2 linked regions of the Nothobranchius furzeri genome follow. The protein of the gene in region 2 binds, or shares a complex with, the protein of the main gene of each other region. Links are inferred from orthologs where the notes say so. Each region holds a gene or a part of one and is shown on either strand. Other genes may lie near its edges. The genes, in order: get1 and camlg.

Region 1 (4,608 bases), on a different chromosome or scaffold from region 2:
TTATTATAAAAAGACGTTGAAATGTTTTTTCTAAAAGGGCAACTACATTTTTCCCATTTTCCTTTATTATTTTTCAGATCAGACATTGAAGGATTTTAAATGATAAAATTCCACAAGTCCTTTTGACCTTAGGTAAGGCCATTGTAGCACATAATCAAAATTAGCCCATTACTATTTGTGTGTTATTTATACTATTTATGTCAATAAGTTTTTTCTTAATTAAGATCCATCCAGTCTTCCATTTTCTTCCGCTTATCTGGAGTCGGGTCGCGGGGGCAGCAGCTTAAGTCGAGAGGCCCAGATTTTCCTCTCCCCAGCCACTTGGGCCAGCTCTTCCGGGGGAATCCCAAGGTGTTCCCTGGCCAGCTGAGAGACAAAGTCCCTCCAGCGTGTCCTGGGTCTCCCTTTAGGCCTCCTCCCAGTTGGACGTGCCCAGAAAACATCACCAGGGAGGCGTCCAGGAGGCATCCTGACCAGATGCCCGAGCCACCTCAACTGGCTCCTCTTGATGTGGAGGAGCAGCGAATCTACTCCGAGCCCCTCCCAGATGACTGAGCTTCTCACCCTAACTCTAAGGGAGAGCCCAGCCAGTCTGCTGAGAAAACTAATTTCAGTCGCTTGTATCTGCAATCTCGTTCTTTCGGTTAATACCCAAAGCTTGTAACCATAGGTGAGGGTAGGAACGTAGATCGACCGGTAAAGCTTCGCCTTCTGCCTCAGCTCTCTCTTCACCATGACAGACCGGTATAACGCCCGCATCACAGCAGATGCAGCACCAATCCACCTATCAATCTTGCGCTCCAGCTTTCCCTCACTCGTGAACAAGACCCCGAGATACTTAAACTCCTCCACTTGGGGCAGGACCTCATCCCTGAGCAAGGAGAAGGCATTCTACCCTTTTCCGAATCAAGACCATGGTCTCAGATTTAGAGAAGCTGATTCTCACCCCAGCTGCTTCACGCTTGGCTGTGAATCGCTCCAGCGAAAGCTGAAGATCACGTTCTGATGAAGCCAACAGGACCACATCATCTGCAAAAAGCAGAGACCTGATCCTCAGGCCACCAAGACGGATGCTCTCAACACCTTGGCTGCACCTAGAAATCCTGTCCATAAAGGTAATGAACAGAATCAGTGACAAAGTGCAGCCTTGGCGGAGTCTTATATAACTACAGGAAAACCACAGTATAAAGGGTATTCTTTGCTGTTTATTCTTCCTGTTGTGTGCAACCACATCAAAGCTATGTTGTTGGAGGTGCAAACACACGGGTCAAAAGATGTGAACCACACGTGATGTCAACAATCTACATATCTAGCTTTAATTAAGATTAAAAACAAATTATGATTAGTGAGATTTATAGTTCCAGTCTTCACAGCTTTGATTAAATTGGTCAACACAGGATGAAATCTGATGCTATATGTGGCACAAACCAAACAGATGAGTCGTTATTAAGAGAAACATTTGATCAACTAGACATAAAGAAGTGTGTGTGTGTGTGTGTGTGTGTGTGTGTGTGTGTGTGTGTGTGTGTGTGTGTGTGTGTGTGTGTGTGTGTGTGTTCATCCATCCATCCATCCATCCATCCACCCTTCCATCTGTCCATCAGTTATCCAAACAGCTTCATCCTCACTGGGTGTCACCGGTGGCTGTTGTCCATCTCCAAACATCATTAGACAGAAGGCAATAAACTGACTTTCTTAATAAACTGAAGAAATATTCAGAGAACATTTGTGACAGTTAATCTTAATAGCCAAAGAATTAAGGTCTTCCCAAATTCCACCAATAAAGCTAGATATGTAGCTTGTTGACATCACATGTGGTTCACATCTTTTGACCCGTGTGTTTGCACCTCCAACAACATAGCTTTGATGTGGTTGCACACAACAGGAAGAATAAACAGCAAAGAATACCCTTTATACTATGGTTTTCCTGTAGTTATGTAAATATAAATAAGTATTTGCAAGTCATTTTTCATCAGATATGCCAAAGCCACAGCAGAGGGAACAAAAGAGTCACATGTGGCCCTGGAGCCGCAGATTGCAGACCCCTCTGTTATATGAAAAAAAAATGACTCCACAATCCGGCCAAATTCCTGATCAACACACCCTTTCTGCACGAACGTTCCATAGTTGAACGTTGAGATTTGACTGATTGACATCTCGTCCTGCCCACACAGGTAAGATGTTATTTTTCAAAATTATGCTGCCGTGACCTCAAAGCCAATCACAGAAAGCTATGGGCGGAGCTTCACACTTCCTGGTGGGTTGGTAGGATAAAGGGATGAATTATACCAAATAGAGGTGTCCAATCCGGTTTGAGCTAGTTCTGGTACTGGCTGGACCTAAAGTCATGTTACACATACACACTCCTCTGTAACAGGCTCTGGTGTGCGGCTCGGCTGGTCCTTTTCTTCTATAGATTTGCTAAAATTATCAGCAGTTTTCCCTATTGGCTCCGCCGCATAAACTAGATCACAATGGGAAGGAAAAAGGTAAGTTAAAACGTGTGTAATGTGTAAATAAGTATGTGTAATATAAAGAGTTTGTAACATGCAGTTACAGGCATTTTTGTGTTGTAATTATCTGTATTTGTCGCTGTTTATTTGTGGAGAACGTGTTAGTTTGAATGCGGACGTGTGTGTATGGAATGAGTCCATGGTGCGTTCAGGGTTGACGTGTTGATGCAGGGAAGTGAAGTGGCGCCTTTTTTACTCCGCGCAGGCCAGCATTCCAACATGTCGCATCGTGTGTTTTTACTTCACCTTCCTTGTTTTTACACCGTCTACGTGTTGAAGTTCATTAATTGTCCTAAATGCGTGCTGTGATATTAAACTAAAGGGGTGTAACCAGCATTAGGAACGGGTTTTACCTCCCAGGAATTTCGCCCATGAACGCCGCAGGTGATTGGAGCTCTTCCTGACTGTAGAATTTAGAAAGTGTTTGATATCCTCAAACACCGCGTTGTGGAGCTTTTAAAACACCGGTTTGATGGTGCACGTCACGCATGTATTTGCGTGTTGATCTTCGCGTTTGCAGAACACAGCGACACATCTGGTTGTTTTAGACATAAACCATGTAGGCTGCGCCTTCAGGTTTAAGGTTTATTGGCAAAATGCAACTTTCATCATCGAATTGATGTTGAGCGTGCTTTGGTTTATGGGCTTGCTGTAGTTTTTTTATGAATAAACACATATGTGCTGTTTTGATGTACTTTCATCAATCTCTAGGGTCCAGATTAAGTCTTTTAGGCCATCAGAAACACTCCCTGGCCAGGAGTCCTACAGATTACATAATATTTCAGTGACTAAATGGGAGGGGAAGTCACCCATCCCCCTCTTTGCATCACACACCCACTTTAGCACACTTATGAGTGGTTGTTGTTCAAGCCTTGTTAATTTTTTTTCTTCCTGATTTTTGCAGGCAACCTCTGATGCAGATGCAGGTACAGAGGTAAGTAAATCACAAAGTGTACATACACAACATAATTTTGATCATCCTCACCTAGAGGGGAGGACAAAGTTGTACATCTTGCAGACTTCCAACACAGATTTTTATTTTTAAATGATGTAAAGAATTTTTTTAAGTGCATGGAATAACTTGAGTTGTACCCTTGTTTTAATTTTCCTAACTTGCAAAACAAATGCAATTTTCACAACCGCTCGACAAAACGGTATCATGTTTGTTTAACTAGAAGCTGTACATTTGTTTAATTCCAAATTCTTTGTGTTTCCTTCAGCCAAGGCGAAAATCCCAACGGTTGTCAGAGGTAAGCTTCACAGACCTGGACTACTTCATGAATATGTGTTTAATTTGGTATTACAACGCATCTCTATTATTTTATTTGTATTTTGTGTTCTGCAGAAAGAGACGCCAACAAAACCAGAGCCAGAAAAGAAAAAGGTGAAAGGTCGTGTCGGTGCAGCAAGTTACGGTGTGGTTAGATTGTCCAGTTCATGCTGCGGTTTGATGTTCATTGTAGGCACCTCCGAAGACCAAGAAGGTGAAGGAGGTAAAGGCCAAAGCAGAGGAGAAGAAGGAGGAAGCACAGCCAGAGAAAGAAAGTCCTGCAGAAAACGGAGAAACTAAAGATGAGGAGGTATGATGGGTTTGGCTCTTCTCTGGTCAGCATTGCTCTCTGGTGGAGAAAACAAACCAGTGGTGTTTCCTTCGTCTTCCCACAGGCTGCAGGAGTAGATGAAGCTGACGACAAGGAGGACACCGCTGAGGAGGAGGCGAAAGCAGCAGAATAGCTGGCTTACCTCTTTTTGTTGTAAAATGCAGAGAGTATTTTAGCTACTATTTTCTAAAGACGCATTGTTTTTAGGGGTGAGATTGCTTTTTAATTTTTTATGACAATATCAATTAAAAGTATAAAGCTTTTGTAAAGGGAGAGTTTCCATAATTGTGTTTTTGTTCTTTTCACACCTTGTCTTTGAGGATTTTGTCTTCACCGGGACTGTTGGGGGTTCGCTCTACTTTCACAGGAAGTGGATGTGTTTGGTTGTTTTCTTTTACTTGAGAAGAATCAGAGTTCAGCTATGATTTCAGCCGTGCTTTAAGCTAAGTGCTTCTTAAGAGTTAGTAATTGTTTATCTTGTCATCTCGGATAGC
Region 2 (4,542 bases):
AGCCTCGTCTCTCTGGGGTGGAAGAGTGGGAGCGGCTGCCATGAATCGAAGCCTCTGGCAGGAAGGGAGGCGGTCTCGGGGAAGGGGAGGACGAAGACCACGGCTGTGTCCTGTCCAGATCAAGGTGAAAGCGGGGTTCTGTGGGTCGTCGGGAGGATCCTGCAGAGAAGATCAGCGTTTATGAACTAGAAATGAATCAAGCACACAGATAAATGGATACAAATAATGTTATTGTTGTTTACAGATTTGGTTCTAACTTAATTCTCACAAATCCCTCTGAGTGGGATCAGACTTTCTAAACAGGTCCTGTGTCACTTCCATGATGAAACATTTGTTGGCATCACATTCAGAGTGATGTCAGAGCTCATAAAACATCAAGAACAGCCCAAGAAAATGCTTCCTGGCAGTTTGCATTTAGACGTTGTGTCTGATTAAAGATGACAGGAAGGCACAGCATCAACATCTGTGCTGCTGACGCCTATGCTGTTACTGTTGCAACACTTACAAATCAATTGGTGATGTCTGGACACATGTCACTAATAAACGTTATGGACTCAACATACGCACAAAATCTAATTTAAGAAACTGACTTATAAGAAGAATGTATGACCAGGGTCAAACATTTACCACTAAAAAGGCAAAAGATGCAACACCTGATCATTTATAAATCATTGCTGAGGTGTTAATTCAGCCCAATCAATCATATAATGATCAGTTATTTACAGTGCTTTGAAAAATGATTCCCTTACAGATTTAGTATGTTTATACATTTATTTTTCTTCAAAAATTTCAATTTCAGTTTTGGAGCAAAGATATCCTGAATAAATACAAAATAGTTAAATAGTAATGATTACGGTTTCATCTTAAGTGAAAAGGGATACGCATACGCAAACCTAAATGGCTGCTGTTGGCAGAAAGCATTTGCCATAATGATAAATGATAAATGATCCGCACTTGTATAGCGCCTCTCAGAGTAAGGACTCCAAAGCGCTTTACACTACAGTGTATCATTCATCCATTCACACACACTTTCACACAGTGATGGTGATGAGCTACGATGTAGCCACAGCTGCCCTGGGGCTCACTGACAGAGGCGAGGCTGCCGAGCACAGGCGCCACCGGTCCCTCCGACCAATAATCATAACTGCTAATGAGTATCTCACATCACTGTGAAAAGGATTTTATCCCACTATTGATTGCAGAATTGATTTAATTATGCCACATTGGAGGGTTTTACTGCATGAATGGATTGAGATTACAGGTCAGAGCAGAATTCATAGTTCATTTTATTACTGCAAGTTATCCAGATCCTTGGAACCACCCAACAAATGCTATTTTTTTTACTGTGTTTTTATATATTTTACTTTGTCTATGACTTTTTCTAATGGTGCTTATTGCTCTGTTTTTACCTTTGCATCGCACTTTACCTTTTTTATTGCCTCATTCCTGTGCAGCCCTTTGGTCAGCTGTCGTTATTTTTTTGAAAATCGTATGCATATTTTTGCCCCATCTCTTTCTAAAAGTTGAATCATTGCCACTGACCTTTACCTGTGGTGCCTTTGATGTTGGTCTGGATTATTTTGTCCTTGAATTGTGTTAGAAGACGGCTTGATGTACTGAATTTTTCAGGGTTTGCATCGTACTTGATTTGTTTTCTAGATAAATAAGGCCTGTGTTGGATTATTCAAGCTGTGTGTGTGTGTGTGTGTGTGTGTGTGTGTGTGTGTAAACATATTCGTGATTTACTAATGGGGACAATAACGTTGTCTTCTATTGTATTAAAGGATCATTTGAAAACTGTTAAACACAAGAATAAGATGATGGGTCAGAATGATCAGCCAGACATGTGCGGAGTGTGATGATGAATTTGTGTCTTAATAGAATTAACTAATTCACCAGTCAGGGCGAGACTACTGAGTGGTGAGAATCAGTACCTTTATGAAATATACATAATACATTTTTGAGAAAATTTTAGCTTCAAAAGTAGCAAAGGCACCTTTTGTCTTGAATCAACACATTTAAAATCAAGACTATTTTTGATTGATTTCAGTGTCATCCATTTTACCTCCAAACTAAATAAACCAGTGCTCGGTTACATGTTTCACACAGGGACATATATGTCCAGTAGTGCTAGCCTAAACGAACGATGACTATATTACCGCTGTTGTCAGAGTCGTTTTTAGCGAAACCCACGATTCTGTTCATCCTGTCCTCTGAATTCATGAGCAGTTTTCTTCTTCGAAGCTCAGCTCTCCGCTGCGCCGCAGACACGCCGGAGCTGGGTTTCTCTGTCTTCTCCTCGCTGGCCTCCATGTTGATAAATGACTCAAATTAACTCCGACTCCAATGTGAAACTACAGAACACGAAACTGGCGAGTCAACTGCTCGTTAACGGCGAAACAAAAGTCTACACGAGCTGAATCAGACGGTAAACATAACAGAATGGACCGAAAAGAGGTCGCACGCCGATGACGTAACAATTCTGCGCAAAGAATGACGAGATGGTTTATTGGGATTTTCATCCCTGAACACCGCCTTGCAGGTGGAAAAAAAAACACATGTCATTTTATATTTAAGTAGCAATCTGTTAAACTACTGTATATTTGCTGAAAATTTGTTTTTAATAAGTCCTATACATTTCCACTGAAACCGTTAATGTTTCAAATAAATGTCCCGCACTTGCATGGCACCTTTCATGCTCAGATGACTCCAAAGCTCTTCACTAGTGTATAATTCATCCATTCTCTCTCTCTTACACACACACGTCGTGATGAGCTATAGTGTAGCCTCAACTACCCTGGGGCACACTGAAAGTGGCAAGACTTCCGAGGACTGGTGCCACCGGTCCCAAGGATCACCATCAGCACAGGTATGGCGTGTTAAATGTCTTGCCCAAGAAATCAATAGAAGAATTCTCTGTCCGGAGTCGGAATTGAACCTGCAACCTTCGGATTACTGCTCAAACCCCTGAGTTTCATGTGATTTTCAGTGATCCCTCGATAAGAATGTTTTCCTTTTATCCATTTAAATATATTTTAGTGATATCACAGGGACCAAAATAATGCACAAATCTTTATGAACATGTCTGGCTACATTTTTTAAAGATATTTTCTGATTGTCATGCATGGTAAATGGTTGAATCTTTTATTCCTATATTTATATAATTACTTTATAATTTTGTCATTAATGTTGAATTTAAGGTTTCTTCAGAAGCCTTCAGCTTTCATTCACTATAATCCATGTCATGTTGAAAACTTAATCTACAAAAAAAAAAAAAAACAAAGCTAGCTTTATTTTCATTTTTATGAAAAACAACTTTGTGCATAAAGACCAAAACAATTCCGTTTCTAAATACATTCTTCTTCTATGATACATAGATTACAAACTGAATGAAATCAGCCCAAACTGAAAACCTTAATTCAAACTCTTATGAACATTGATTAATTGGTCCAAAATGAATCCATCTTCACAGAATAAACATGGTTCACCAACCAAAACACAAACTACATTTAAAAAGTCCCAAACAGTTTATTTTCTTAGCATAATTTCAATCTGTTTACACTAAAATTAGCATTTCTTCTCCTTTATATAATGCAGTGTCTTTCAATATACAAATATCAATAAGCATGGATACAAGATCAAAATGGCTTTGTTATGACTGTGTTAAAGAATTTCCCATATCCTATTATATTAAAATATTTCAGTATTTAAACAGAGGATTATTAATAAAAAGTGAGTTCCCATAGAAGGCAATTATAGCATTTAATCAGTTTGGGAGTCTCATAAATTAAACAAGAGGAAAAAAACACAGAAAAGTGATGTCATCAGAGAGAGAGAGAGAAAAGATGACAGACCAACGGGAGGACAGACCAATGAGACAACCTTTCACTGCCAAGTCTACACATTCCAGGCAGCAAAGACGGCAAGGTCCATCTGCTTTCCACATCAGGAGTCTACGCATTTGCTCAACAAACATTATAACGACTTTATAACTAAAAAGAAAAAAAAACATACTTCTGGGATTTTATCAGCATTGGAGCCCAGGTGTGTACAAAAAATATCTCCAGGTGACAGCCCACTCAAAAAAGAAGTCTTTGAGCGCCAACTGTCCTCATAAACCAAGTCTTGCACTCGCAAACATGCAGAAGTTTGACCTGGTTTAGGTTAGACGTGTTTTTTGAACAAAAACATCCATTTTACCTGTTCTTTCACCTGAACAATAGCTAGTCTGACAGAATTGTTCTATGAGAATAAACACTGATTCAAATCAATCACAGACAAAACAACCTTCATCGCAAAAGTTCTGTTTGTTTCCTCCAACACGCTTCTTCAACCGAGTAGAAAAGTCTTTGTCATGTTCGGTTGATATCTCAGGTCCACTCGGGTTCTTCTCTAAGATAAAGGTGGAAAACAGCTGGAGATGGAGTAAGAGGCATTGCTGAGGGGCCTCTTACAGCTTCAACACACACACACACTAACACACACACACACACGATGCATGTCCTTTCCCCGAGGTTTCCCGTCTCAACAATCTCACTGAAG

Evidence for each region.
Region 1: camlg (region 2) and get1 share a complex: the UniProt entries of both Homo sapiens proteins name them as parts of the golgi to ER traffic (GET) complex. The link is inferred for Nothobranchius furzeri from reciprocal best matches to the Homo sapiens genes CAMLG and GET1.

Annotation. Positions count from the first base shown.
Region 1 is NC_091753.1:27,509,956-27,514,563, reverse strand, and holds the start of get1 (guided entry of tail-anchored proteins factor 1), read right to left. Parts: upstream 2,902-4,608; 5' UTR 2,887-2,901; coding exon 2,867-2,886; intron 2,490-2,866; coding exon of another isoform or gene 2,475-2,489; exon of another isoform or gene 2,269-2,474; intron 1-2,268. Other genes in the region: hmgn1a (non-histone chromosomal protein HMG-14A), read left to right, coding at 2,475-2,489, 3,418-3,447, 3,734-3,763, 3,859-3,897, 3,977-4,093, 4,179-4,247. UniProt on the Homo sapiens protein: Required for the post-translational delivery of tail-anchored (TA) proteins to the endoplasmic reticulum (ER).
Region 2 is NC_091750.1:60,367,531-60,372,072, reverse strand, and holds the start of camlg (guided entry of tail-anchored proteins factor CAMLG), read right to left. Parts: upstream 2,857-4,542; 5' UTR 2,314-2,856; coding exon 2,160-2,313; intron 160-2,159; coding exon 1-159. UniProt on the Homo sapiens protein: Required for the post-translational delivery of tail-anchored (TA) proteins to the endoplasmic reticulum.